Linked DNA regions of Nothobranchius furzeri. The protein of the gene in region 1 interacts with the protein of each later gene in a pairwise test. Links are inferred from orthologs where the notes say so. Each region holds a gene or a part of one and is shown in the gene's direction. Other genes may lie near its edges.

Evidence for each region.
Region 2: the proteins of tnika (region 1) and wwc1 interact in a two-hybrid assay, tested with the Homo sapiens proteins (2 studies listed by BioGRID and IntAct). The link is inferred for Nothobranchius furzeri from reciprocal best matches to the Homo sapiens genes TNIK and WWC1.
Region 3: the proteins of tnika (region 1) and akap9 interact in a two-hybrid assay, tested with the Homo sapiens proteins (2 studies listed by BioGRID and IntAct). The link is inferred for Nothobranchius furzeri from reciprocal best matches to the Homo sapiens genes TNIK and AKAP9.
Region 4: the proteins of tnika (region 1) and dpysl3 interact in a two-hybrid assay, tested with the Homo sapiens proteins (2 studies listed by BioGRID and IntAct). The link is inferred for Nothobranchius furzeri from reciprocal best matches to the Homo sapiens genes TNIK and DPYSL3.
Region 5: the proteins of tnika (region 1) and clu interact in a two-hybrid assay, tested with the Homo sapiens proteins (2 studies listed by BioGRID and IntAct). The link is inferred for Nothobranchius furzeri from reciprocal best matches to the Homo sapiens genes TNIK and CLU.
Region 6: the proteins of tnika (region 1) and connector enhancer of kinase suppressor of ras 2 interact in a two-hybrid assay, tested with the Homo sapiens proteins (2 studies listed by BioGRID and IntAct). The link is inferred for Nothobranchius furzeri from reciprocal best matches to the Homo sapiens genes TNIK and CNKSR2.
Region 7: the proteins of tnika (region 1) and golga4 interact in a two-hybrid assay, tested with the Homo sapiens proteins (2 studies listed by BioGRID and IntAct). The link is inferred for Nothobranchius furzeri from reciprocal best matches to the Homo sapiens genes TNIK and GOLGA4.

The regions. Positions count from the first base shown.
Region 1 is NC_091758.1:22,641,741-22,645,806, forward strand, and holds the start of tnika (TRAF2 and NCK interacting kinase a), read left to right. Parts: upstream 1-1,266; 5' UTR 1,267-1,466; coding exon 1,467-1,526; intron 1,527-4,066. UniProt on the Homo sapiens protein: Serine/threonine kinase that acts as an essential activator of the Wnt signaling pathway. Recruited to promoters of Wnt target genes and required to activate their expression. May act by phosphorylating TCF4/TCF7L2.
Region 2 is NC_091750.1:71,325,306-71,328,805, forward strand, and holds part of wwc1 (protein KIBRA), read left to right. Parts: intron 1-987; coding exon 988-1,058; intron 1,059-1,743; coding exon 1,744-1,989; intron 1,990-3,027; coding exon 3,028-3,117; intron 3,118-3,500. UniProt on the Homo sapiens protein: Regulator of the Hippo signaling pathway, also known as the Salvador-Warts-Hippo (SWH) pathway.
Region 3 is NC_091759.1:4,646,294-4,650,261, reverse strand, and holds the start of akap9 (A-kinase anchor protein 9), read left to right. Parts: upstream 1-1,168; 5' UTR 1,169-1,334; coding exon 1,335-1,382; intron 1,383-3,968. UniProt on the Homo sapiens protein: Scaffolding protein that assembles several protein kinases and phosphatases on the centrosome and Golgi apparatus. Required to maintain the integrity of the Golgi apparatus. Required for microtubule nucleation at the cis-side of the Golgi apparatus.
Region 4 is NC_091750.1:58,232,483-58,235,982, reverse strand, and holds part of dpysl3 (dihydropyrimidinase-related protein 3), read left to right. Parts: intron 1-935; coding exon 936-1,092; intron 1,093-1,595; coding exon 1,596-1,737; intron 1,738-2,567; coding exon 2,568-2,738; intron 2,739-3,500.
Region 5 is NC_091742.1:12,226,408-12,230,425, reverse strand, and holds the start of clu (clusterin), read left to right. Parts: upstream 1-1,218; 5' UTR 1,219-1,365; intron 1,366-4,018.
Region 6 is NC_091750.1:48,216,412-48,220,445, reverse strand, and holds the start of connector enhancer of kinase suppressor of ras 2, read left to right. Parts: upstream 1-1,234; 5' UTR 1,235-1,737; coding exon 1,738-1,801; intron 1,802-4,034.
Region 7 is NC_091752.1:16,187,216-16,190,715, reverse strand, and holds part of golga4 (golgin subfamily A member 4), read left to right. Parts: intron 1-2,088; coding exon 2,089-2,242; intron 2,243-2,360; coding exon 2,361-2,551; intron 2,552-3,500. UniProt on the Homo sapiens protein: Involved in vesicular trafficking at the Golgi apparatus level. May play a role in delivery of transport vesicles containing GPI-linked proteins from the trans-Golgi network through its interaction with MACF1. Involved in endosome-to-Golgi trafficking.

The DNA.
Region 1 (4,066 bases):
TAGTGAGATTTCCTCCAAGGAGGTGTCATTGAAGGAGGTGTCATCGTCTGTCGTTGTCTTATCTGAATGCTACAAGCCTTTGAGCACTTGACACCAGTCTAATATTAATGCATCACATGCTTTTTTGCTGCAGTTTATAAAATTTGTAGCTAACCAGAGTTTAACCCTAACCCACCTACTTATCAGTGCACTGAGTTCAGTTCATTTTTCAAACTGGTTAAACGTTGTCCTATGGGAGGAAATCCAGCAGATTGTGGCAAACATGCAGCAACAGTGGAGAGGAAAACTCCCCTTTAACAGGAAGAAACCTCCAGCAGAACTACAACTGACTAGGGATTTGACAAGGGTTAGGGTTAGAGCAGAAACACGAAAAATAAATGGTCGAACAAGTAGCACCTAATCAACTAGAATGTCACATGCCTATTGAAAGTTGACTTCACCTGAAGCAGTATGTGCTTTCATCAAGTGTATGTTGCAACATTCATGTCAAGCTTGGTTTGCAACAATTACACATGTTCCATACAAACATTAAAGGAGCAATATGTAAGAACTCTGCCTGGAAATAATTTTCTAGGGGTTGCCATGGCCACCCCTTGGGGGCACCCCCTGACTTCATCTTACTTTGTTTCTTCTTTACATTTCAACAAGAAAGCTTCTTATTAAATGTAGATGTTTTAATGAGAAAGTGTCTTGATGATCCTTATTTTTTCCCCTCACTGATGGTGATACGCTTTAATTTCTTTTATTTAAAAATCTAGATGTTTAGTGTGACACAATTGCCAACTTTTGAAACGCTTCATTAAATGAAAAGTTTTTTTTAATTAATACACTAATTCTCCTCACCAGTAGGGGTTCTTAAAATGTCATTTTTGTTCTTCTTTTGTCCTTTTTTTATTAAATAAAAAACAGATCATTTGGAAAACTTCATTTATATTTGACAAAAACAGCTTTGGGCTATTTCATAAACTCATAACGTTAAACTGAAAAAAAGAAACAAGATGAGGCGCTTTTTATTAATAAAGAGCAAAGGTTGACCTGGCAGAGAGAGGAAAGTTACTTTATTGAAAGGGGTTACCGTTTCAGACAAACCCCGCCTTTTTACCGGGCGGGGTTTATGTGAGGAGCCAGTGCGCTTCTCTCCCTTTCCGTATTTACCGGCTTGCAGTCACAGCAGAAAACAGGCAATCCATCCGCCGCAGCGCTTCACCTTCCACATCCCCGCACACATGGAAGTATTGATGCGCTCCATCCTCCGAGCGTGTGCGCTGTAGCTGCGCGCACCCGATCCCCGAGCGCGTCCGGGACTATAGAGAAAAAAACCGAACGTGCTTTTTGTTATTTTCTGTCCACTTGGGATCACTCTAGCAAGAAGAAGAGGGATCCGTGGAGCATCAGAGACCGCACAAATCGGCGGTGGCAGCCGAGTCCGGATAACTGACAGCTCAAGGAGAATTTTTGTGTTCACCATGTACATGCCGAGTGACTCTCCAAGGCGGAAAGTCGACATCGACCTAAATGAATTACAGGTGAGATTTATTTCATTGAAAAAAAAATAGGAACAGAGGTGCCTTATTATTTTCTTGCACCAGAAGATTAGATTAGCCTCTAAATGATAAATAGAATGTCCCAAATTAGGAGGAAAGCTTCTACAGAGGCCAATTTGTTAGGGTCAGAAATGAAATGCAGCTGGTGATGCTGAGTTGATGTCTCCTGCTGATTTTTGCTGACATGGATAGTCAGCGCTTAGGTTGTCTGTTTCTTCTCTAAAGCCGTTTGGAAACTAAAACTACTTTTCTTCTGTCCTATTCAACCTGTGGGCACTGCCTGCTGTCTGCCTGTGCACTCAGAATATCACTTCACTGTGCCAAGATTACAGTGGCATTAAAGATGCCACACATGAGAACCACAATCTTGCCCTCAGTCGTTTATGGTGCATTTGCAAGGCATCACATTTGCTCGGTTGTCCATTTTTATGTTCTTAAAGCCATCATGTCTGCATGAGCTTAGCTGCAGCCTGCATCTCTGTTTTCCATCAGTTTATCGCCTGTTGCCCTTTTCTGCCAGCTTGCAGTGGGGGGTGGTTTAAGTGTCAGGTGAAGAAAAAAAATGTTATTTAACTTAACATGAAAATAGTTTGCAGCTTAAAGGAGCACATACGTGACGAAGCAGTGGAGGAATGAGGAAGAACAAGGAAATGGGGGGAAGTGGCCAGGCACTGGGAGTCAAGGCGTGATGCTATAGGTGTCTCTGAGATTAACAAGAACAAAAAAACAATGCTCGCTTTTCATTTTACAAGCTGAATCTGTTTTGAAAGTTCATCAGTAGAAAATGAGCAGTTACCAGAATATATGAAAAAAACTTGTGTTGGTGCTTTTTGCAGCACATTTCTCCACAATAAATACCAGCAAGGTCCTGAGTGACAAATCCAATTATTCATCCTAAGTAAAAAATAAAAATAAAAAATTCAGTATTAGCCTACAACTTGTAATAAAGTGTTTTACACACAGTCTTATTAGGAACAACGGTTGGCAAAATAATTTGAAGGCATCTAAAAGGTCTCTCCAACATGTTTTTACGAGCCCTGTCATCCAGGATCTGTTCACAAACATAGATGCAGACAATGAGTTCAAGATGAGTGTAGTGTCAACCACTGAGCTGGCTAGACAGGAAGTAGGTCAGCTGTCTCTGACGCATGGAGAGGGGGTGCAGTGACTGGAGGGGGGGAGTTCTGTGTTTACAATACTGATCTTGATGATGGAGCACTGTATGTGTTTTTCAGTCTAAGTGTACATATTTCATAGAGGTGAAGGGGGATAATTTTCTTTTGGGACACATTTAAAGACTTAAAAAGGTAGACAGAGCTAAACAGGAAGTAGAGTGAAGAGGGAAGTGTTTTGTTGTGCTTGCACCTCTGTGCGATATTCTCTATGCTGTCCCCTGTGGCTACGTGCTCCTTGTCAGCTCTCTTTCTTGTCTGCAACATTCACTGCACAGAAAACCCCAGCAGCACCTGTTACAGACGCAGAGTGTTTCGCTTGAGCGAGAAAGTCAATGCTTGTGGTCCAGCGCCACTGTTGTGACTCACAATGACAGCCAAGGTCGAAATGCTGTGATTAAAAAAAAACACGGATATTGTGTTATTTCTGGATGGGGTGAGAGCACGCTGAGGTCAGAGGCATCAGGAGCACTGGCTCATCCAGTCAGCTGATGAGAGCAACAGATGGTAAACCAGCAGGAAGTTCACAACACTGCACACATTGGTGGTGGAGTAATCTGTGCAGGGACTCAGGTGTGAGATCGGATCTGAAAGAGAGGGCAGGTGAAGCTACTGTTGCAGAGAGAGTGATGGGTGCAGAGGGAGAAAAGGATGCAGCTTAGAGAGAGTTGAAAGGTGGAGATGTGACCAGTGACTAAAGTAGAGAAAAGCTGAAACGTCTTCTCCCTCTCTTTCATTGGAAGGCCGCATTCCTCATCCGCTCACCACGAACGTCATAGTAACGGGGCCACAGCAGTGCCCAAGGCTTACACAGAGAGTATTCATGAATAGTCCATATATACTGTATGGCAGTTTGTCACTGAGAAACGGCCCCTCTTCCTCACATCCTCCCTTCCAACGCTGCCAGCATACTTCAAGTTGACCTATTTTCCCCTGTCCAAGACTATGATGGAGCTGCTTAAAGTCTAAATCTATTTAAACGTACAAATGTGTTGGGATTTTTCTAATGGGAAATTTTCATTTCCAAATTTAAATCTATTACCAGCAAGTGCACAGGGACCAGCATGGAAACAAATAACAGTTATAAATTAGAGGCTTTTAATTAACATTCCTTCTATAGTTCAGGGGACACATAGAGAAAACACACGGGCCAAAATACCATAGCACACCTTTTGGCTTTAGATGATAAAAGACATTCTTTGAATCCCTGCAGATCAAAAAGCTAAGAAAGATGGATGGAAATGACCGATGGAGAGTGACGGTTGAAAATTGAGAAAGAAAGAAATGAAGGATGAGTGGAACAGATGGATGGGCTGAAGGGATGACAGGAAGAAATGTGAGATGACAAGG
Region 2 (3,500 bases), on another chromosome or scaffold:
TTCATGTTCTACCGAGGCGTGCGTTCTCTGTTAGCCGTTTAACTAGCTGAGCAAGGATATACGGGAGGTGTCTTGTAGCCTAGCCTTGGTCAACAATTCCCCAGAATACACCACGATAATTTCAAAAGGATGGATCAGAAGCTGGCAGCTACTTCGGGGACAATTTTCAAGTTTAAAAGCAAGTCAGCTAATTTAAAATGTTTTTTTCAGATCCAAAGAAGTTATCTATGGTTGGTTAGTTGCTTAGTAGTTGCAGCTTCGGTGGCTAGCGGGTAGTAACTCACTTATATTTTTAATTTAATTAACATGTACACAATTTAAAAAGTAAAAGGCTCGTTATATATTTATATTGAAACTAATACAGTGATCCCTCGCTACTTCGCGGTTCGTTTATCGTGGATTCACGACTTCGCGGATTTTTTCTTTGGAGCCTTATTCAAGGGAAATTCGCCGATTCGCGGTGTTTTTCTATGCGAAATATCAAGAAATTCCTGTTTTTTTTTTTCATCAATTTCATCATAAAATGCACTTTTTGTAATAAAACTATAAAAAAACAAGTAAAAATACAGTACTATGTAAAGGGAGGGTTTCAAAAGTCTGAATACTGAATACGTACCTGTTAAATAAATACTGTAAATATGGTGTCCCTACTTCGCGGATTTTCACCTATTGCGGCCAGGTCTGGAACGCATCTACCGCCATACACGAGGGATCACTGTACATATAAAATATAACATTATCTCCCGTGTCACGTGATGTTACGTCACCGCCGTGGAAGCCGCGGTCACTTGATGCAAGTCTGTTCCATTTTACCGTTTTCTTTGACCTAGGAAGGACAGTGTCCTCGTACGCAAAGCGCCTGGCCTCGCGAGGCCAGGCGTCTTGACATTGAGAAACACCCAGCGATGAGAAGGTCCTCCTCAGTATGATTCATCTGTTGGCTGATTAGTTTAAACATTCATTAGGATGCTTTGGTTTTCTCACCAGTTTTCGACCAGCACCAACAAACTGGCTGAGAAGGTTCGCCTGAGTCTGAAGTACGAGGAGGCCAAGAGGAGGTAACAACACTTTAACTCAGTCAGGAGATCCTGATTTAGCTGGGACGTCGTTGGTTTGTTTAGATAAACGTGTGTGTACCAGTAGAACTGCTTCAGATGTTCTGAAAGCCTCAGCTTCCTGTCTGTAAGTGGGAAGTCTGGACCGTGATCCAGCTGCTGCCAGAGCAGCTGTGGCTACGCTGTAGCTCATCATCACCAGCGTGTGGATGTGTTGCAAAGCACCTTGGGGGGTTGTAGAACCCTAGAAGGCGCTACGTGAATACAAGCCATGTATCATTTATAGTGAGCGGGAAGTCCTAAGTGGGGAAGTCTATGAAGCACAAGATGGATCTGAAACCGGCAACGAGTCCCGCAGATATCGGGCAGTTCCTCGGATACTGGACCGTGGAAAGTTCGTCCAAGAATCTGCTTGGAGAATGGAGCTAAAGTGACCCGGGTCCATCCAGAACCCTGATGTTTCAGACTCAATAGTTTGATCCCATGCTGGACTGGTGGAAGATGTGAGGCTGGAATATTTAGATCCTCTGGAACTTTCACATAAAATAATCTTTTCTGCCTTCACAGGACCCGTTTTCTTAAATGTTTGATCTGAAGTTGATCCGTTTGGTCTTCCCTTCTGCTGTGGAGCCAGCTATAAACCAGGGTGCTCAGCTTTAACCATAGCGTCCTCACCTTCTCCTTCCAGGATCGCCAACATTGAAGTTCAGATCGCCAGACTGGACAGCGAGGCGTGGCCGGGGCTGCTGGACCCGGAGCGGGACCGACTCATCCTCATCAACGAGAAGGAGGAGCTGCTGAAGGAGCTGCAGTACGTCAGCCCCCGGAAGCGCCTGGAGCCCAACGACGCCGAGAAGCTGGAGACGGAGAAGAAACGTCTGGAGAGAGACCTGCAGGCGGCCAGAGACAACCAGAGCAAAGCTCTGACCGAGAGGTGCTTCAGATCGGAGCTTTTGTCTACAGAAAGGTTTTTATGGGTTTAGCTGCAGGGGGATCAGAGAGCTGTGAGATGAATAACTCGGATCAGATCAGCTGGTGAGACCTCTGACCCTTGGATACTCCTGTCTCGTTTTCCTCCATCAGGTCTCCCTGTCCACACACACACACACACACACTCACACACACCCCTCTAACAGGACCGTTGTTGTTCGAGCTCCAGGTCAGACTTTACCTGAGCCCCGTCTCTCTTTGTGTCTCGTCTCCTGTTCCTGAAACCCGAGATGCCGCTAAGCCTCGACACAAGGACCTCTTGTAGCGCACACACACACACACACACACACACACACACACACACACACACACACACACACACACACACACACACACACACACACACACACACACACACACTGAGTCTGCAGCTCTGGAAATGCAACATTCTTTTCTTTTACCGAGTTTCAGAGAAGACGAGAAACCAGACGCAGTTAGCCCCCCCCCCCCCACACACACACACACACAACAGAAACTAACAGTTCGTCTTTGATAATTTCGCACCGTCCAGGTTTGTTCTGCTGCTTTTAGAAAACATTGAAGCTAATTATTCATGTCGGGTTGATAAACGATGGATTCTTCCTTGTTTTGGGTCAAATCTCTAAACCAGCTGGCCGTTTTCTTCCGTCCCTTTGAGTTTCTTTGTTATGTTGTTTTGTTTTTGTGTTCTTAATAATTCACAGACTAGCAAACTTTGTAGTTTTACTTTTTACTGACAGTTTCGGCTCTCACTGGCGCCTTCCTCGGAGTGGTGGTGATGTCACTTCCTTGCTGTTTCATCAATGGGCAGTCGCCCTCTACTTTCCACTTCCTGTTTGTCGATGACCATGTCCCATATGTGATCCACTCTCCTCCATCTCTGTCCACGTCTCCTTTAATCCGTCGTTGCTGACTTTGGCCAATATAGAAAAACTTGTATATATCGGTCTGCCTCTAGTTTTCTGGTTATTTTATTAAACTCCGCTCCCTTCTGTGATTTCAGGCTGCGGCTTCACTGTAAGAGGAACAAGCTGGTGAGAGAGCTGGAGGAGACGGTCCGCCTGGCCACGACGCTGCATACGCAGCTCAAGAGGTCCGTACTCGTCTCCACCAGGAAAGATGGAGTCAAACAACAGCAGCTTCTAAAGCGTAGTGCAGGAAGTTGGACTTTTAGCAGCACGAGCATCAGTCAGTCGGAAAGATTGGGTTGTGTTTGTGAGGAGGTTCTGACGCCTGCTGCTGCTCTGGGTTCGTTCGGCTCAGACGTTTTCTGAGGAAGTAAAAAGCCTGGATTGCTCGTGGGATTTGTGACGTACTGATGTGGTTCTGAGACTGTAGTTTCTTGACTAGTTCCATAAATGAAATGGATGAAAAAATAAACACAAGTAGATAAAAAGCATCATTTACTGGATGCTTGCTCAGATAAAGCTTTAACTGTTAAACCACCGCTTTTATCTTTAGTATCTGAATAACGGA
Region 3 (3,968 bases), on another chromosome or scaffold:
TTCCACAGGACTGGAACCTTCTCCTGGGCCAGGCTGAGGTTGAAGAGGTTCTGCAGAATCCCACAGAGCTGCTCTGCACAGGCCTTCGGGTCTTTGTTGGCCTATGGCAGGTCTTTATGAGCAGGAAACATCTTTAAAATGAAAAAGCTTAGAATTGCAATGAAAACTCAACTGGGACAGCTCTGGCAACCTCTCTTCCCATTACCATAGAAACTGGGCAGATTAAAAATCATTCAGACTTCAGATATTACAGGAAAATGTATTAAATTAGCTTTCAAATCTGTTTATGATATTGTTACCAAACTGCCTGTATGTCGATGCCTTGAGTGATTTTTCCATGCACAGTTATATATTTGTTTCCCAGTCTTAAGTCTGAGGAAAGGGTATTTCCACAACTGCAACGCAAAGCGAGCTGGAAAGCCTCGAGAGGGTGGCCAAGTTATCGTCTTAATCAGCGAACAGTGATGCTGGTTGCAGTGAAGATGAAAGGAACCAAGATGATAAATGGGTAGAAAAAGATGTGGAAATTGTGATTGCAGAGATGATGACAGAAAGAACAAATGTTTTCAGAAAGAACAAACATTTACAGAGCTGAGGATGTACCATTTGATGTTAATAGAGTAGAATAGAATAGAATAGAATAGATTAGAATAACCACTTTATTGTTCCTTAGTGGAAAATGTTGGTATCACTGCAGCAATTACATTTACAAAAAGGAGAGTAAAAAATAGAGTAAGTAAGATTAAAGAGCAAACAAAACAAACAAAAAAAAAACATTTGCAGAAATGCTTAAAATATTTAAAATATTGAATATATACACACTTTAAGAAATTAAATAAAAAAATATCTGATAGACATTCTCCTTTTTAAAATAGATTAATTTAAACATTAGATAAAACAATAAAAAAAGTTAATAGCTCAAATTTGTTATAAAAATATTTTTTTGTAGAATCTAAACTAGGTGGGTTCAAAGGTCTAAAATAATGTGGCCATTGTTGTTGTTATTATTATTATTATTTTGATCTTTTTATTTTTATAAACGTAACTCACAGGTTTGTGCTATGGAAGTGGAAAAAGGTGACATTTCCGGCAGCAAGTGAAGCCGACACCAATGAAATGCCAGGTGGGCGCGGCTTCGTGTGCACATACACTACGTCATCACAGTTGGGTCTCATGTTTACGTGGAAAACATGGCGGCGGACTACAATCAAGATAGGCAGTGATTTCGAGCCAAGCCGAACGAGACACGCTTCAGTCTTCAGCTCTGAGACTTTTGTCGCAGACGTTTCGTATGACGTTCTGTCCCCCTTGTTTCTGCCACAGAGACAGCGGAAATGGAAGACGAGGAGAGGCAAAAGAAGCTCGAGGCCGGCAAAGCTAAGGTATGATTTTAAACATTACCACTTCTGCTCTAAACTTGTAACAGTTAGCTGTCGAGAGCTTGTTTCCTGCGTTTATTATGTCTGTCAGCTGTTTTTAACCCCCCTCCCCTTCATTCACCCCTCTCAGCTGTCATGCGCCCTGCTTTGACAGCTGAGGAGGGGGGCTAGCAATGCTACTGCTAACCATGGTTTCTTTGTCATGCTGCATTATAAACATTTCTCATATGTGCTTTCCTCTGCCTGGCGTGTAGGCAGGCGATGCTAGGTTAAACAGCCACAGCTCGAGCCGTCGCATCGTTATTTAGGGCTTATAAGCGCCGCCTAAAGCGACTCTGACAGGCTGGTGTAACTGGATTTACAGGGCATATCCTCACTAGCAGGAAAAGAGGCACCGCATCACATTCTTGACGTTACCTTGACCTTAACAGCAAGGATTACGGACAAACATGTCAGAGTAACGCACATTTTCTTAAGGGACTGCAACTCGTTTATACAAAAAGAATGAACTGTTTAACATCTTATGTCGGTGACTAAATCTGGAGTTCCTCAGGTCAATAGGACAGATACATTTCATGTCAGCTGTATAATTTGATGCATCTTTATTACACAAATAAATAAAATGTGGTTTTCAAGATGTGGCTGAGTCAAAAAGTGTGTCACAGCCTTGTGATCACAGCTTGCATAGCATATCTCAACCTATAAGATTACAAAATTGTTGCTCTTGTATTTTGAGAATTTAGATGTTGAATTATCTGTTAGATGCCCCTACGATCCTACTGAGGAATGACTATTTCAGATAATGATTGAATGATCTACTATTATACTATAGACTTACGCGTCTTTGGGTGTCTAGAAAAGCGATATATAAGTTCAAATAAATGCATTATTATTATTATTATTATTTTAGACGGGAAAAAAACAAGGGTTTCCATTCTGATGCTGCAGGGAATGCTCTTCAGAGGTTTTCTTAGCCCAGTTTCAGATCATATAAAAGACCATCTCCTCAGCTGTTATTTTTGGAAGTATAAAGGCTCCTCATTGCTTCAGGCTGGTATGGCTGCTGCTTTTCTGGCACCGTGTTATGCCACCATGTCCTCACATGCAGCAAAATAAATAAATAAATAAATCCAGGGCAATATTACTTTGATAATAGTTTATAATAATTATGAGGCCTTGAAGGTTTAGCTTGAATGAAAGAAGAATATGATGAGGGCGGTCTTTTTTTAAACTAATCAAAATGATGTTGCAACACTTGATTTGAGTGATACTTAGTGGGTACAAAATGACATTTTCAGTGCAACGTTTGTGCCTTTCTCTTACAATCAGTAGCAAAGACGATGGGAGGATTGCTTTGAGTGAAATGAATGATGAAGAGTGAGCTGTCAGTCATCTGTTGTTCAGCACCAGGCAAGAGCATTCTGAATCTCACCAGACAAAAGCAAAGTAAAATCTGTGCGCAGGCATTGCTAGACTATTGTTTCCAGTTACGCATTTGTCTTGTAGTCTTTTATGTTTTCTTTGAAAGCTACAGAAATATTGACAAGTGTGCCACTATCGGATAAGTTATTTAATTCATTCAATAACAATTAATTCTTCAATTATACATGAATTAAATTGCAATTTCAAATGGTTTGTTAAACTGTCCATCACACTGGTATGTTTAGCAGCTAATAATCCTTCCAACTAGAGCTGGGCGATGAATCAAAAATGTATCGTTGTCTGTAGGGCTGGGACGACAATCAGTAAATCAATTGATCGTACGATCGATGAAAATGAACTCAATAATTTTCCAGCCTAAATATATCGAGGTTAAGAAATGTTCAACTCTATTATTATTATTATTATTTATCATATTGTTGAAGTGCAGTTTTGGTTGTTGACACTGGATATAGGTCACTGAGTGATGCATCTTTGTGTAGGTTGGCGACATTCATGTTCCTGTAAGAAGCAGTACAACCTCGAGTCATGTGATAACATTCCATTCCATTTTATTTATAAAGCACATTTTCACATGGCCGAGGCCAACCAAAGTGCTGTACAGTAAAAGCATAAAATCAACCCACGGGAAGAAGTAATAAAAAGTAGTACAGTAACTACTATAAAAACAATAAAAATAAAAAAACATCGTAAAATGGCAACTAGGCTGAAGTAGAAGCTAAGGAATAAAAATGAGCCTTCAGACGTGATTTAAAATCAGAGGGGGGGGGGGGGGGGGCATTCTCACTGCTAGGGGGAGTTGGTTCCAGAGACGAGGCGCACAGATTGAGAACGCTCGCTCTCCTCACATCCTCACCCGAACACTTGGGACCTGTAACAGGCGGTGGTCTGCTGATTGAAGAATTCGACCAGGTACGTAAGGCTGAACCAGCTGAGTCAAGTAGAGAGGCGCATAAAGATAGAGTGACTTAAAACCGAGAAGTAAAATTTTAAACTAAATGCGGTAGCGCACCGGAAGCCAGTGCAGCTGGGTCAGAACAGGAGTAATTCCAGCCTGGCACCGTGGGTTTGATTCCAGCTCCTGCCAGGGGTATTCTGCTGTTGTGTCCTTGGGCAAGACACTTCACCCAACTTGCCTGTGTTGGTGGT
Region 4 (3,500 bases), on another chromosome or scaffold:
ATGCTGGTAACAAGCCTTACAGATTTATTCTCAGGTGGAGCATCAAAGCGTCTGCTTTAAATGTCACGTCTGATACTTAAAACGTTATTGTTATTGTTTTTGAATGCTTTGTAATTCCGACTAGACATGGAGACAGAGGTGAAAGAGAAAGGAAAAGACAAATGGTGGTGTGGTGGGGGGTTCCACAAAAATAAACAATAATGAACAAGAGTCTGCTTCTAGACCTGCAGAAAAAGAAGAGCAGAAAAGAAATGGGACACACAACAATACATCAGGAGCAAACTATCACTGCGTCAACGTGATGATGAAATATAAAATCAACATTGTTTAACTGAACAATCACACGATAATAAATCACAGTGCATTTAGTGGCAACGACAGCCTTGAGACAAGTGTTGAACGTGCCCAAGCCCATACTTTTGAGAGCACCACGTGAGCACCTGTGTGTGTACACGCGCTTGTTTATGTAAGGTTTCTCTATAGGAGCGTTCAATAGAGAGTGTGAGGGACCACAGATCTGCCCCCAAAGATGCGTAGGAGACGGGGGGAGCTCCAAGTCCCAGAGATCCAGGCACTGCCCCAGAACACAGGAACCCCAAGGGGACTGCAACCAGAAAGGCCCCCCGCATGGGAGGGACTCAATGTCTCCTCTACTGCGTCCATTATGATGACCTACACTTCTGTAAATTATGTGTTGATGTCATTTCGCAATGTTTACACAGCCAATAGCTGATTTCTTAAAGAGGATTTGGCAACACAGTAGTGCAGGGTAATTCAAAAATGGTTTATTAATAATGTTGGTGCATTTGCATATCATTATGTTTATAAAATTAATTTGTTAAATTTTTGAGTTAGGTCTCAGCCCTCTGGAAAAAAGGTCATTCTGCACATCTGGAGTTTTAAACATTATATTTATTGTTTTTCTTCTTTCTCAGGAAATGTGGTGTTTGGGGAGCCCATTGCAGCCAGCCTGGGGACTGACGGGACACATTACTGGAGCAAGAACTGGGCCAAAGCAGCTTATTTTGTTACATCACCTCCTCTTAGTCCCGACCCCACCACTCCGGACTATCTCAACACACTGCTGGCAAGGTGAACACCACAGCAACTCCCTCCGGTTTGGGAGGTTTACTGTGCATGGTTTAAGTGTGCAGTTTGAAAAGGTTGCATAAGAACAAGCAAGGAGAGAATAGTTTCTGAGGTCAGCATTGCTAGAAGCAGGCTATTTAGTAATAAAGTCCATGCTGCATGAGAAACTGAGCTCTTTGGATTGAATTTTTTGTAATAAATGCTAAATTATTGCATAATTGCTGGCTAGTGCAAATTATCTTTTACTTTAATTAAAATTCCATCTTTCTGCTTAAAACAAAAGTAAAATTAGCATGTTTAAGTTTATAACTAATGGGTTTTGTTTTGTAAAAGATGAGTACCATATGGAAGCAGGAAGCATCATTAGTAGAGAACACTTTGGCACGCTGCTTCCTTATTCTGCCAAAGTAAATAAACAGATTTTTGTGTGTTTGCAAAGCTCGACTCGAGTAAACAGATTTTGTTGTGCTGGTTTAATTCCATCGTCATGTGTCCTCTCCTCCTAGTGGAGACCTGAGTGTAACTGGCAGCGCTCATTGCACCTTCAGCGTGGCTCAGAAGGCCATCGGAAAGGACGACTTCACTCAGATCCCAGAGGGTGTCAATGGAGTGGAGGAAAGGATGTCGCTCATCTGGGATAAAGCTGTGGTGAGCACCAGTTGAGCTTTTTACTTTGTGTGAGGGAAGATCAAAAGCAGACACAATAGCTTTTGTTCTCTTTGACTGTTTTTTCTCTCCTCAAACTCTACATCTGGACTGTTTGTTCTGTCATTTTCATTGACTATCAAATCTCTCTTGAGTGGTTTTCATTAATAAAAAGAAAAAAATATATACATTATTCTCTTTTTACTCTTTAACTCAACTTCCTTTTTTTCACCATTTAAAATTTCCCTATAGCATCTATTTTTTTTCTATTCTTTATGCAGCATTAAACCAATGATTTTTCTTTCATTTTGATGTCGTCTGTGCATCAGTATCTGGCTAAATTTCAGCCTCTCTGGAATTCAGTGCTGGCTTTAAAATGTGAGTAGACGTTTCCTGAGAACAGCTGCTTAGGATCCAAGTTCTAAAGTTGGACTGGCGGCTGCGGGTGTGGGTTTTTATAGCCACTTTCACGCGGCTAAATGTGACTTTTAAACTAAATGGACCTAATAGAAGACATCTCCCAAAAATAATCAAATACTCAAGGAACGTTTTGCTGATTAAATCAAATTTTAGGTCTCTGTCTTTGGATTAGGGAAACTTGCAAGAGAATAATTTTTTTCTTTTAAGAAAAATGTGTTTACTGATTTAAATTTAAACATTTTTATGGGTTTATTCAGGTCTTGTTTCTAGCTGTACTCCCACATACACGTGTGTCTTGACAATGCTTGCCCATAGAACCCCTAAGATATACATAAAATTGTATTTTTAACAATATCATGGTTCTGTGTAACAGATCTGGTTCTTTACGTATTTTGTATGACTTCTCCTTTTAGACCACGGGTAAAATGGATGAGAACATGTTTGTAGCTGTCACCAGCACTAACGCTGCTAAGATCCTGAACCTGTACCCTCGGAAGGGTCGGATTGCTGTGGGCTCTGATGCCGACTTGGTCATCTGGGACACAGACGCTGTTCGCACCATCACTGCCAAGACACACCAGTCGGTACGTATTTCACGTCTTGATTAAACGATCAGTATGTCTTCCTGAGCAGGGGAGGTTCTAGACTAAAACTGGGGGGGGGGGGGGGGCGGGCTCTGTTAGAGGCGCATTTGTAAGACGACTCTAAAAACATTGCTATCAAGTATTTCAATTGCAATATAATAATAAAGATAAAACAACAAGAATGACACAGAATCTTTATTGTAGATACAACAGCTTTTCATTTCATTTAAAAATATAACTATTTAGAAAAATAATGCATTATCAGAGTTATTTATCTCAATGACAACATGAAAATATTCTATACTTAATAATTCCAAGGCTCTGCTCTCAGCATGGGGGCGGCGGCGGGGTGTCCAAGTTTGTTTTCAGGGCTGCACTGGCCTTTTTTCCCCTGAATTTTATTCCAGTACTTTTCATTTCTTTGCACCTCTTATTGGAATGAACTTTTAAATTTAAACTATTGATAATAACTGAGAATCAACTGTAACAAGTGGTGACAAAACATTATCAAGCAATGAGGATGTAATAAAATATTGACACACAGAAATATTGCTATATTTCATGTTGTGATACTGAGTTGATGTTAAAAAGAATGTATCAATTAGGGATGTCCCGTTCCGATATCGATATCAGGATTAATTTGATATCGGCCCAAAAACACTATCGGATTATATCGGACTGCATCTAAATTGTCGGATATAATGAGTCCGCTCCGCTTTAAATTTCATTCCAGCAGTTCTATCCAGCAGCACCCAGATCCAG
Region 5 (4,018 bases), on another chromosome or scaffold:
TCAATAAAGTGGCCAGTGAGTTTTTGTTCATGTTTGCTTTCAGATTAGTTTGAAAGAAATTTTAATGTAATTAATATGAATTATTGTTTAGTTCACCAACTAAAAAACAACACTTTAGGTATAAATTTAGTTTTTTATGCAGAATTCATTCAAGGTAGTTTCAGAAATATTTAGCTTGGATAAATACAACTAGGCAACACTGTGGTGTGTTGGGTTGAACTGCATTTTTCATGTTTTCCTGCAACTTCCTGCCAAAAACTATGTAGGTCGTGTTAATTGGGGATTTTGAACTAATGAGTCTGCAGGATTGTTTACCTTTTTTGCTTCTTTGTGTTTGTCTGGTGACCTGCAAGTTATAGTTTCTGCTCTGAGCAGAGTTGAGCAATGGAGGAAAATGTTATTTTCACGAAAGCATCTTACCAAATATTAAACAATCATTTAATGTGTCATCAGTGTAAAGAATGCTGCTTGTTGTTGCATTACAAAGCTCCATGTTGCTCATCCTGGTTTCAAAGTGGTGGTTGTGTTGTGGTTGGAAACATCAGACATTTTAGATGAGTCACAGTCTGTGAATCAGATGTTTGTCTCCCTGCTCAGCAGCGTTCAGCTCTGCCGATAAATCTGAAAACTTCTGGAAAGGTCGTCATGCGTCACGGCCATCAAGTCACCGGAAATAAACGCTGCAGTCACCGAAAACATGGTTGCATTTCAAAATAAATGTTTGTTTTTTTACTCCACATTTGTGTAAAAGAAGGTAAATTTGAACAAGTAACATAATCTCACTGGAGCTTAAACCTTGTTCTGTTTGAAGTCCGCTCTTATTCAGTGACACAAATGTGAAAATTATGGAAGAAATAAAAGATTTAACAGTAATGTGAGATTAAAAAGTAACCTAGTAGCATAGCTTATTTTAGCAAAAAAGATGTATTGTAGACAAAATGATCTGTTATCGCTTCCATTTTTCTAAATATAATAAAATCAAACAATACATTAAATCTCACTGAGACAAATACATATTTTTGTGTATCTCATTAAAACATTTTAGGAGCAGTGTGCTTATCAGCTAACAACCAGCTATCTGTAGCATTACCTTTAAATGTCATTCTATTTCAATAAATCCTCGTGTTATATGTTTGCCATGAATTTCAAACACTAAATATGTCTTTCGTTTTGTTTGTGTTCAACTCGACTAAACGTTCCTGTTAGTTTTATTCTGAAGGGTCAGGCAGGAAGTTGGTGTGTTGTTACGTCGCTGGGACGCCGTTGATGCTGCAGCCTCCCTGCACCGTTCCCGTTAGCCTCCTGCTGAACATAAATACCGGCAGCAGCGGCACTGGTGTGGCTTCAGATCCAGGAAATTCAGAGGTGAGTCTCAGGAACTTTCTTTCTTTTTTAATCTTTTGCACCAAAGGGATGCGCATTAAGATAAATGATGCTTTTTCGAGTTCAAACCGCTTCAGATACTGTTTTATTGTCAAATGATAATTGTAATAAGAATAACATTTTGTAAGTAGAATCTTTAAAAATCTATTATTTAGGTCTCTGCTGTTGATTTATGGTGCAAACATGCATGACTGGTGTTTGTTTTGCTTACCCACGGGTGTGACCTGATTAAAAGCAACTGGATTAGTTTAGATGACGTCACTCTTTGGTTGGTTTACCTTACAGACATCAGCATAAACACTGCAAAATAAGAAAAGAAAATTCAACCAAAACAATAAATTTGTCAGTTTTTTTTTATTATCTAACAGACATTGTAAACAGCATCAATGTATGCTGTTAATTTATGATCCCGCTGACAGAACTTAAAGTTTTTATACATGATTTATTTGTGTTCATTTAAAGATGACCTTGATTTTCTGCATGGCTGTTTAAAAAAAGTTCCTTCTGGGTGCACAAATCCCCAAACACTTAAAATAAGGTGGAAATGGGGCCACACGTGTAAGCGTCCCATTTGCAGAAAAGATTAGTCGTTCTCACCTTACATGAACCTTAATTATAACCTTATATCTCCGTAGGATGAAGGTGTTTTGATTTTAAATGCAAACATCAAAAACATTCATCCTAAATATTAAAATACAGCAAAAACAATATATTATGTTTAATTGCTTCATGCAGGATGTGAAAACATTAAAATAGGCTTAGGAGTCTCTTAAATTCCAAAGGAGATGTTCTGCAGGCTTAAATTTTCTTTAGGATGAAAGTTTATTATTAATAATAGTAGTAGTAGTAGTAATAATAATAATAATAACGATAACTGGTTATTATGGAAAAGAAAAACAATCTTTGCAATCTTGTCTTTTTACAAACTATTAAGAAGTCCATCTGTAGTGCAGTGGGTGGAGGGTGCTGCAACATCTGGAGGAGTGTTGGTATTTCAGTTGTGTAACCAGAATCCCTGCAGCTGTGGCTCTGCAAACAACGCCGTCCGACTCCTACCTTGTCTGACTTTCTCTGCTGTTTTCTCTCCTCTGACGCACGTTTTGTTCTTTCCACCCACTACAGTTTGCCATATTTTCACATTGCTGTTTCCACAACTGATATTTAAAATCTAAATGTTTAGGACAAAATGAAAAATGCTTTACCAGAGATTTATCATCAAATAAATCATGAGCTCTTTGTGTTTTATGATGTCTGTTCTTCCGCAGTGGGTTTTAAGCCTGCAGTTAAATTGAATAACCTTAAAAATGAAAGTTGTTCAAACAAAATATTAACTCAACTTGACCTGAAAATCATTAAACATTGATCTGGTGATTACATAAATGTGGTGGTTTGGAATGAAGAAGCTGCTGCTTCTGTGTTTTTCTTGTTACCATCGAAACAGGTGGTGATGGTGGGCGTGAAGGTGACGGTGGACAATAATAAACCATAAAATGTGATTAAAAGATGAAAAAATAAAGTCGTTTACATCTAAACCAGCTTTGTTTGTTTTGATTCGGCCCAGACTAAACAATAAAAGAACCTTGAGATAATAATCGTGAGAAACTTCAGCAGACTAAATCACTGAAGGCCAATAAATCCAGACCTAAAACTGTTAGTTTTTATTAACGTAGAGCAAAACCATCAGATCTGTTGGATTCTTCAGTTTCACAAAATATCCATGGTTTGGATGTTTATATTTTCTAGAAGTTTCATATATCAAAATTTCTGTCAGCTGCATAGTTTGGTGCTTGGTTGATGTGTTAATTCCACACGAGAAGAGTATATTCTACTACCAAAGAAAATGGAAGTACATATTTTTATTGTGAAGACGAGTTGTCGTGGTGATTTATTAGTTAGGAGTTGAGTGTTTTTTTGGTAACGAATCCTCTGATCCTTCATCCATCTGCCAACTCCTGCAATAGTTTGGTTACCTGTAAGGCGCCGTGCACAAATTCAAATGTCACCATTTTGCAACAGCAGAGACCTTTCCAAGGAATAAACCAAATCCCTGCAGATTTAGGATTGAATGTTTGTCTTATTCTTTTACTGTAATTTGTATTAGACATTATAATTTAGTGAGCCGCTTTGAATGGCAGAAGCCTACTAATCACCTGCTGATTGAAAACAGGTGTGTTGAAGCAGGGTTAAAACCAAAACGTGCTGGATACCGGCCCCCTAGGACCAGGATTGGGCACCCCCTGCTGTAAAGCGTCATTTTAGCACAAATGATCTAAACATTCAATAACTATTTTCTCCTAAAAAATCTGCACCAACTCTTCTTCTGCAAAACAATGACATCATCAGCAAAAGCAAACAGTTTTCTTTAAGGAGATGTTTCTATTTTGTAACTTTCAGCAGCAAATTTCAATGTGTTGCCATGGAGACGGGAGTTTTAGTTTTATTCTGTTTATTTAAACCATGACTCATTCATTTAGTCTTCGTTATTTAACATGAAATCTTCTGTTTCCAGCATGAGATGCAAATCCTAAATGTTTCCTGTGCTTATAGACAAAAAATGATTGTGTGAAGTGTTAGAGAACATTAATTACACCGCCCAGATAAATCAGCACACAGATGAGAGTTCGTCTTTCTGGTA
Region 6 (4,034 bases), on another chromosome or scaffold:
TTTACTAATGTAAAAAAAATGCTATATATCAAATATTTATCATTTCTATGGATTTAATAACTGAACACTTTCAGAAATCTCCACTTTCCGACTGCTGGCGCTCATTTTCTCACCGTCTTCGTCGCACTCTCCTCTCTCTCTCTCTCGCCTTTTTCCTCCTCCTCATTCCCTCTCGTCTCCCTCCGCCCGCATGTGCTCTGCTGTGTGTCTGAGTCTGATCCTCCCTCTTCCTCGCCCCTACTGCTCTGTGTGTGGACAGTCTGGACACGCAGTTACACATGCTGACCAATCAATCGCCTGTGGCTTTCACCAAAGCAAAAGGGGAGGGGGGAGGGGACGGCTCCCAATGACGAGCCGGCTCCCGTCGTTCACTTCAAAGAGCCGGCTCTTAGAGCTGGTTCGTTCGCGACCGACACATCACTACAACCTATATTTCCTTTCTTCATCATTTAACTAATTCTTTACATTTATCACTCCACCTCCTATGTTTTTTAATTTCTCCCTGAGTTGTCCTCTACTTTCCTCATATTTTATGCAGTTACATAAAACATGCTCCACCGTTTCCCCCCCCCCCCCACCCCACATCCACACAAACCTGTGGGATGTTTCCCTTTCAGATGCATTGTATTATATATATATATATATAATATAGCTATCATCTCCACTGTGTACACAGATAAATGATCTGGAGTTCTTTCTCTAACTACTACTTTTATATGTGGTATTACAAATGCAAAACCGGTTTCTGGCAGGGAGTTGGTGCCATGGCTTGGGTATATAGAGCAGGTGAAACAGGTGAGTAGCATGAGCTTGATTACTGGGAGCAGGTGTGACAGATGAGTCTAAGGAGAGCAGGCTGTGGTTGTCATGGAGATGAGGGCGGGCAGAGCTGGATCATGACAGATATTTATTTTTAAACATTGTGAAATATGAAGACATATAAATGTTAATTCATTATGAGGTTTTCTGCGTGCAGTGGTCAAACTTTAACGTCTAAATGTCTCCTGCGCCATTCGACTTTAAAACTGCATCAAATTCAATATTATAATTATTTTTGTGCTAGTACATTACATTTTAATTGAAACACTGAGTGTTCTTTTTAAGATGCAGCTCATACCAATTTATTTTAAATAATTCCCCCGAAGAAAATTAATTATAAGGAACCTGAACCTCTTTATACATCAAAATGAAAACAAATCACAAGCCTGTGGCATTAACCACCAGTCATACAGGAGCGCTTTCTGGTGATGGCTGAGGCGGTGGTGGTGGGTGGGGGTGCTGTGCTGTGACTCCATGTCGTCTGGGGGAGAGGAGGGGAGAAAGGGAGGGTGGGAGGATACTCAGAGCAAATGCTACCTCTTCAGACAGCAGGATGAAGTGAACAGTCTGCGCGTTGTTCGCCGCTCTGGACGCGATTGGTATGTTCTGGGAGCGGGTTCGGGCAGCAGGGACCCCGCAGCATCATCGCCCGTGAGCCTGACATGAATGATAAGTTAAAAAAACAGCTTCTTCAGGACCGAGCTGCGTCGGAATTCACTGGGCTTTACTCAACGACATCTTGGACATTTCATCTGGTTTTGTTTTGTTTTATTTTATTCTGCCCCAGTTTGTTTGTAAACGGGCGCATCTGCAGTAGGGAGTGATTAGGAGCGTTTTCGGATTATTTAGACTGATAATCCCAGTTTGAGTGCAGGAGTTGGTCTTTTTTCCCTTCTTTTGTGGGGACAAACTTCTACCATGGCACTGGTTATGGAGCCTGTGAGCAAGTGGAGCCCCAGCCAGGTGGTGGACTGGATGAAAGGTGGGTTTCGGTGCCAACGGACGCAGATTTGAGCAAAAATTGAATTGTGTTGCGGTGATGCACGCCAACACAAAAAGAATCGATATGCCAAAAAGAAAACAAAACACCTGCTGAGCCTTGGATTATCGACTCAGCCCCCCAATATGGGTCAGAACATAATTAATCTAAATTTACCCCCAAAAATAACACCACATGAAAGCGGTTCGCCCCTTTTAGACGATCTACTGAGGGTTTAAACGCCTTTGTGTGCTGTGGTGGTCGGGGGAGGCTGAGAGGAGCGAAGATCCAGTAATTACACGCAAATGATTTCACCTCTGACTGGTTCTGGGATCAGAACCAGCGTTGAGAGGAAGGCAGGCTTTTATGAGTGTTGAGACTGCAGGACCAACCATACAGCGGTATCAGGGTTTTTTCACCATCTGTACTAAATGTTCAGCCTCAGATGTTTGAAAGTCTCTATGAAGTCACAGCTGATTTAGAAAGACTGGTGTCATGCATTTGTGAGTCCTGTTGGAAAAGTTGTCTCTGAATAAGAAATGTTTGATTCAGACTGTTCAAGGGCCTTCGATGGAAGAGTGATGCTTTAACTAACCTGAGCTGTCGTCACTCACAAAGTGGAAACGAGTAAGTTGTTGTGATTCATTTGTCATTCACCAGCTCTGGTAGCAGTGTCAGATTACCGCTTCCTTTGATCCGAGGATCTGTAAATGCCCCAAACAGCTGTGAGAGGGATTTACATCCTCAGCCCACTCGTTGCAGATTCCTCATCAGCGATGCTTATTTTGGTCTGTTTGCAAGCAAAAGTGATGGAGATGCATGCAGGGAATGTAAATCTCAGACTGATTTATCTTTCTGTTGCTTGCTGTTTTGCACAGAGTTGTTCCAGCAGTGTGTGTTAGAGCGGACATGCACATAGTTGCACGTAAATATATCATCATCACTTGCAGCCTGTTGGAATGGGCTGGGTCTGACATTTCATGAGGAAGCACCAAAGCTCATCAGCTGTAGCTGATGCCACCTTCTGTGCAGACTCATTATGGAACCAATTTATAATGACTTTTAAAGAAAGAAAAAACAAAACAATTTAAAGGACATCTTGGATGCTTTGTTAGTGAGCTGTACTGAAGTGGAGTTTGGATATGAGAGTGGACTAGAGTGTCCCACATCTGACAAGTGGAGCCCAGGGCTTAGCAATAGTGATTTAAAGCGAGGGACAAAAGTGGCACTGAGAGATGCAGAGGAAATGGTGGAGGAAGGTGGGGGTTGTTGGGAATTCACTCCTCTGTCAAATCCACCCCAAAGCCTCAAGGACTGGCAAACTTTTGACTTTATTGCTGGTTCTATTATCACTGCCCCACAGTGTCAGCGGAGGGCAAATGGGGGAGTCCCGTGACCTTCTCACAGTCCCAGTCCCATGTCCCTGGGATTCTTTGTTCCCAGCTGGAACAAAGCTGTTTGAACGGGAGTCCTATCCCCAAAGAGAAAAGAATTCCTGCTCCCAATGGGAATTTGTTCTTGACATACCAAGAGAACAGAAGCTGAGCAAACACTTGTTTTTGTTTCTCTTTTTCGTTTTAAAGAAACAACTGAATGTCTGGAGCTGCAAATCAGAAAAAAGAAAAAACAGCAAATGATGAATAGTAATGTTTTTTTCTTAAATCACACACACACACACACACACACACACATTCACACGCACACGCACACATATCACAGAGCGAGATCAGTGACAGCTCAGATTATCACACAACTTTCAATTCTAACAGCGTTGACTCTCTCTCCATCAGAGATGGATTATCTATAATGGAGATCAGAACATGCCAACGTTGTGCTCATAATTTCTCTTCTGTGAGCTTGATAGTCTGAGTTGAACATGACAGGAACAGGAAAATTCATGTAGCAGAAATCGCTCAGAGCTATCGGTGAATGAAGGCATCAGAAATGTCAGTCCTAGAGAGAAGAACGCCTCACTTAAAGGGAAATTTCCGAGATTTTGTTGTTAGTTTCTGCATAAATGACAATAGACCAAAGGAGATTGTTGTTATCTTGTAATTCCTGCAAGAATACAGAATCCATCCATCCATTAATTTTCTTCCGCTTATCCAGAGTTGGGTCGCGGGGCAGCAGCCTAAGTCAAGAGGCCCAGACTTTCCTCTCCCCACTTGGGCCAGCTCTTCCGGGGGAATCCCAAGACATTCCCTGGCCAGGTGGGAGACATAGTCCCTCCAACGTG
Region 7 (3,500 bases), on another chromosome or scaffold:
ACAATCTATCAGCTGACACCTTTGCCTCATTCTTCACTGACAAAGTGGCAGCTATAAGCAAACAGTTTACTCAACTGGCCACTCCTGAACATTCGCTACCACAAACTCCTTCTAGCCCAACCATCTCAAGCCCTACTGCTTCATTTTCCTCTTTTTCCCCTCTCACTGAGAACTGTGTGTCCAAGCTTCTCACGTGCAGCCGCCCTACTACATGCCCACTGGACCCCATTCCGACTAAGCGGGTCCAAGCTATTGCTCCTACAGTAGCCGCAGCAGTCACACGTGATCAACGCTTCACTGACATCCGGTACATTTGCCACCTCTCTCATTCAGGTTAAACCGCTGCTAAAAAAACATCTCTTCCTCCAAATCATGTGGAGAACTACCGACCTATCTCTCTCCTCCCTTTTCTGTCCAAAATCATTGAAAGGGTGGCTTTCAAGCAGATCACAGAATACCTCTCACAAAACTGTCTGCTTGACCCTTACCAATCTGGGTTCAAAAAGGGCCACTCCACTGAAACTGCTCTGTTAGCAGTGACGGATTCCTTAAAAGAAGCTAGAGCGACTGTCAAATCCTGAGTGCTTATCCTGCTCGACTTATCGGCTGCATTTGACACTGTTAACCATGGCTTCCTTTTGTCCACACTCTCTAGCATGGGCATCACAGAGAAAGCACATGCCTGGTTTGAATCGTACCTCACAGGATGATCATTCAGTGTATCTTGGCTTGGACAATCCTCTACCGTGCACCATCTTGCCACAGGAGTCCCCAGGGCTCTGTACTAGGACCTTTTCTCTTTACCATATACACCACCTAATTGGGTGAGATCATTCGATCACATAGCTTCTCCTGCCACTGCTATGCCGATAACACCCAGCTCTATCTGTCATTTCCACCGGACGACCACGCTGTCTCTGCATGAATATCAAACTCTGACATATCAAAATGGATGAAATCCCACCATCTCCAACTCAACCTCTCTAAAACTGAACTACTTGTCATCCCAGCAAAACCATCCATACAGCACAATATCTCAATCCAGAATGACTTCCTATCTCTGGCTCCTTCAAAGGCAGTTCGAAATCTGGGTGTTGAGATTGATGAACACCTGACCTTTAAAGATCATGTTGCCTCTGTTGCTCGTTCATGCCGCTTTGCACTGTATTACATACGAAAGATCAGACCATACCTAACACAACATGCCACCCAGCTCCTGGTGCAATCTACTGTCATCTCCCGCCTCGATTACTGCAATGCCCTTCTAACTGGTCTTCCAGCCTGTACTGTGAGACCTCTTCAAATGGTCCAGAATGCAGCAGCGCGTCTGGTCTTCAATCAGCTAAAAAGAGCACACGTCACCCCTCTGTTCATTGAGCTCCACTGGCTACCGCTAGCAGCACACATCAAATTCAAATTGCTAACACTAGCATACAAAGTCTGAGATGGTACGGCTTCCATCTACCTGAATCCTCTTGCAAAGGCTTACGTCTCGGCCCGGCCGCTCCGGTCATCACAGGATCGTTGGCTAGCAGTGGCTACACCACGCTCAGGACAATCCAGACTCTTCTCATGCATCGTTCCACAAATGTGGAATGACCTACCAAGCACTACCAGAACAGGGTCTTCCTTTTCGATTTTCAAGAAACTCCTGAAGACCCTGCTCTTCAGAGAGCATCTTCTAAACTAGCACCCTCCCTGCACCTGTCCCCCCCTCTCTACTGTCCACTCCTTGTTCCCTCCTCTCCATGATTCATCATGCTGCCTCACTGCCACCTACGACTGACTGGAAATTGTTTGTTGTTGTTGTTGTTGTTATTGTTGTTAGCCTCAAGGGCAACATGCCGATTATCACTTGTACGTCGCTTTGGACAAAAGCGTCTGCTAAATACATAAACATAACATTTAAAACGAAATTTAAAAATGTCTGTTTCATTTATTTATTATTTGAGTCATCAGAACTCCAACTTGGTGTCTTTAACTGTATAATGTTGAAAAACACTTCACTCACCCACTTAAAGGTGTGGAACACTGGAAGCCCATTTTGTCATAAAGCAGTTTTAATTTCTTTGTTTTTCTTTTTTTAAGGTTGCTTTGTTAAAGAAGCGAGTTAAGGGGGTTTCTACAGATGGGTCGCTCCCTGCTGAAGGTGACGTTCTCCAGTCTGGGGAAGCTCAAGGTTCTACATCTGTAATGCAGAGTCCGTCGAAAGAGGAAGGACTGGAGCCAGAGAGCACCGAGGGCAAGAAATGTTTTTATCTGCTCATATGTGAATCAACTTAAAAGTGAAAGTGTGTCTTTTTGTTCTACGGAGCTAAAGATTTTATTTTACAACAATTGCATTTTAATTTTCTGAACAGGAGAGGGCAACAGTGATCCAACCAAACTCATGGAGGCTCTACAGAAGAGGGTGAAGAGGCAAGAGAACCTGCTGCAGAAGTGCAAAGAAGTGATGCGTACGCACAAGGAGCGGAGCACACAGCTGAGCAGTGAGAACGAAACTCTGCAGGAGCAGTTGCAGGAGCGCCTGCAGGAGCTGGAGAAGATGAAGGTTCACACTCTTTATTTTAACTACAATAACACAGAATCAGTGCCGAGTTCTTTAGTGAGATAAACAAATCTATAAATTTTGGGGCTCGTAGGCATCATTTCTTCATCAGTATTTTAAAAAGAATAGCCCAAATATTTCAAATTCTTCTCTTCGGGCTGGACGTACGGAGGAATTTAATGATGCAGTAAACTAGTTATGAAGAGGTTTGATTAAACGGAGGCAGGGCTGAGATGCTGCTAATGACTGAGCAGTGTTTGGGCTAATTAATGTGCTGAAGAGTATCTGCCAGAGTCTTTATGGTCCACTGATGATGTGAGTCCATTATCTGTGTGACAGAAGATTGCTATGTGGTTCTCCGTCTCCAGATATCCACATTCCTTGGCCCGGCTCCACAGTGAGGGGTTCATGTCATGTCGGCTTGACATAACTGAACCATTGCTGTCATTGAATTCAAAACATTTAGCTTCAGTGGTATGTTTGGCTTGTGTAGCATGTCTGTAGCTGTTCTGATGGTTTGCAGCATTTGATGGCAGCTGCTTACAGCTGGGAGGAGACCGTAATAATAGATTTAAAGTCTGGGATTGATGTCGTTTTGCTGTAATTTAGTTCCGTTTGTTTTTTTTTTGTTTAAAGTGTTTTGGAGGAATAAATCCTCTCGCAGTTCTGAGCATCTTCATCTTGAGTTAAAAACTCCTCATGAATGAAGCTTTAATACCTTGAATCACCGTGACAACCAAAAGAAGAAAAAGGTATGGTAAAGATAAGAGCTGCAATTGCACAGAAGGCTGCAGTAGGGCGGGTACTAAAACTTGGTACCGCTTTAGTATTGGTACCAAAAATAATGAACTTTTTCAGTGCTTTCCCTGAAAAATGACCCTGTTCATGAGCTGCACAGCTCCGTTCCTCCTGCTGCTTTCTGTCACATGACTTTGGGTTGCCTCTCTCTCTC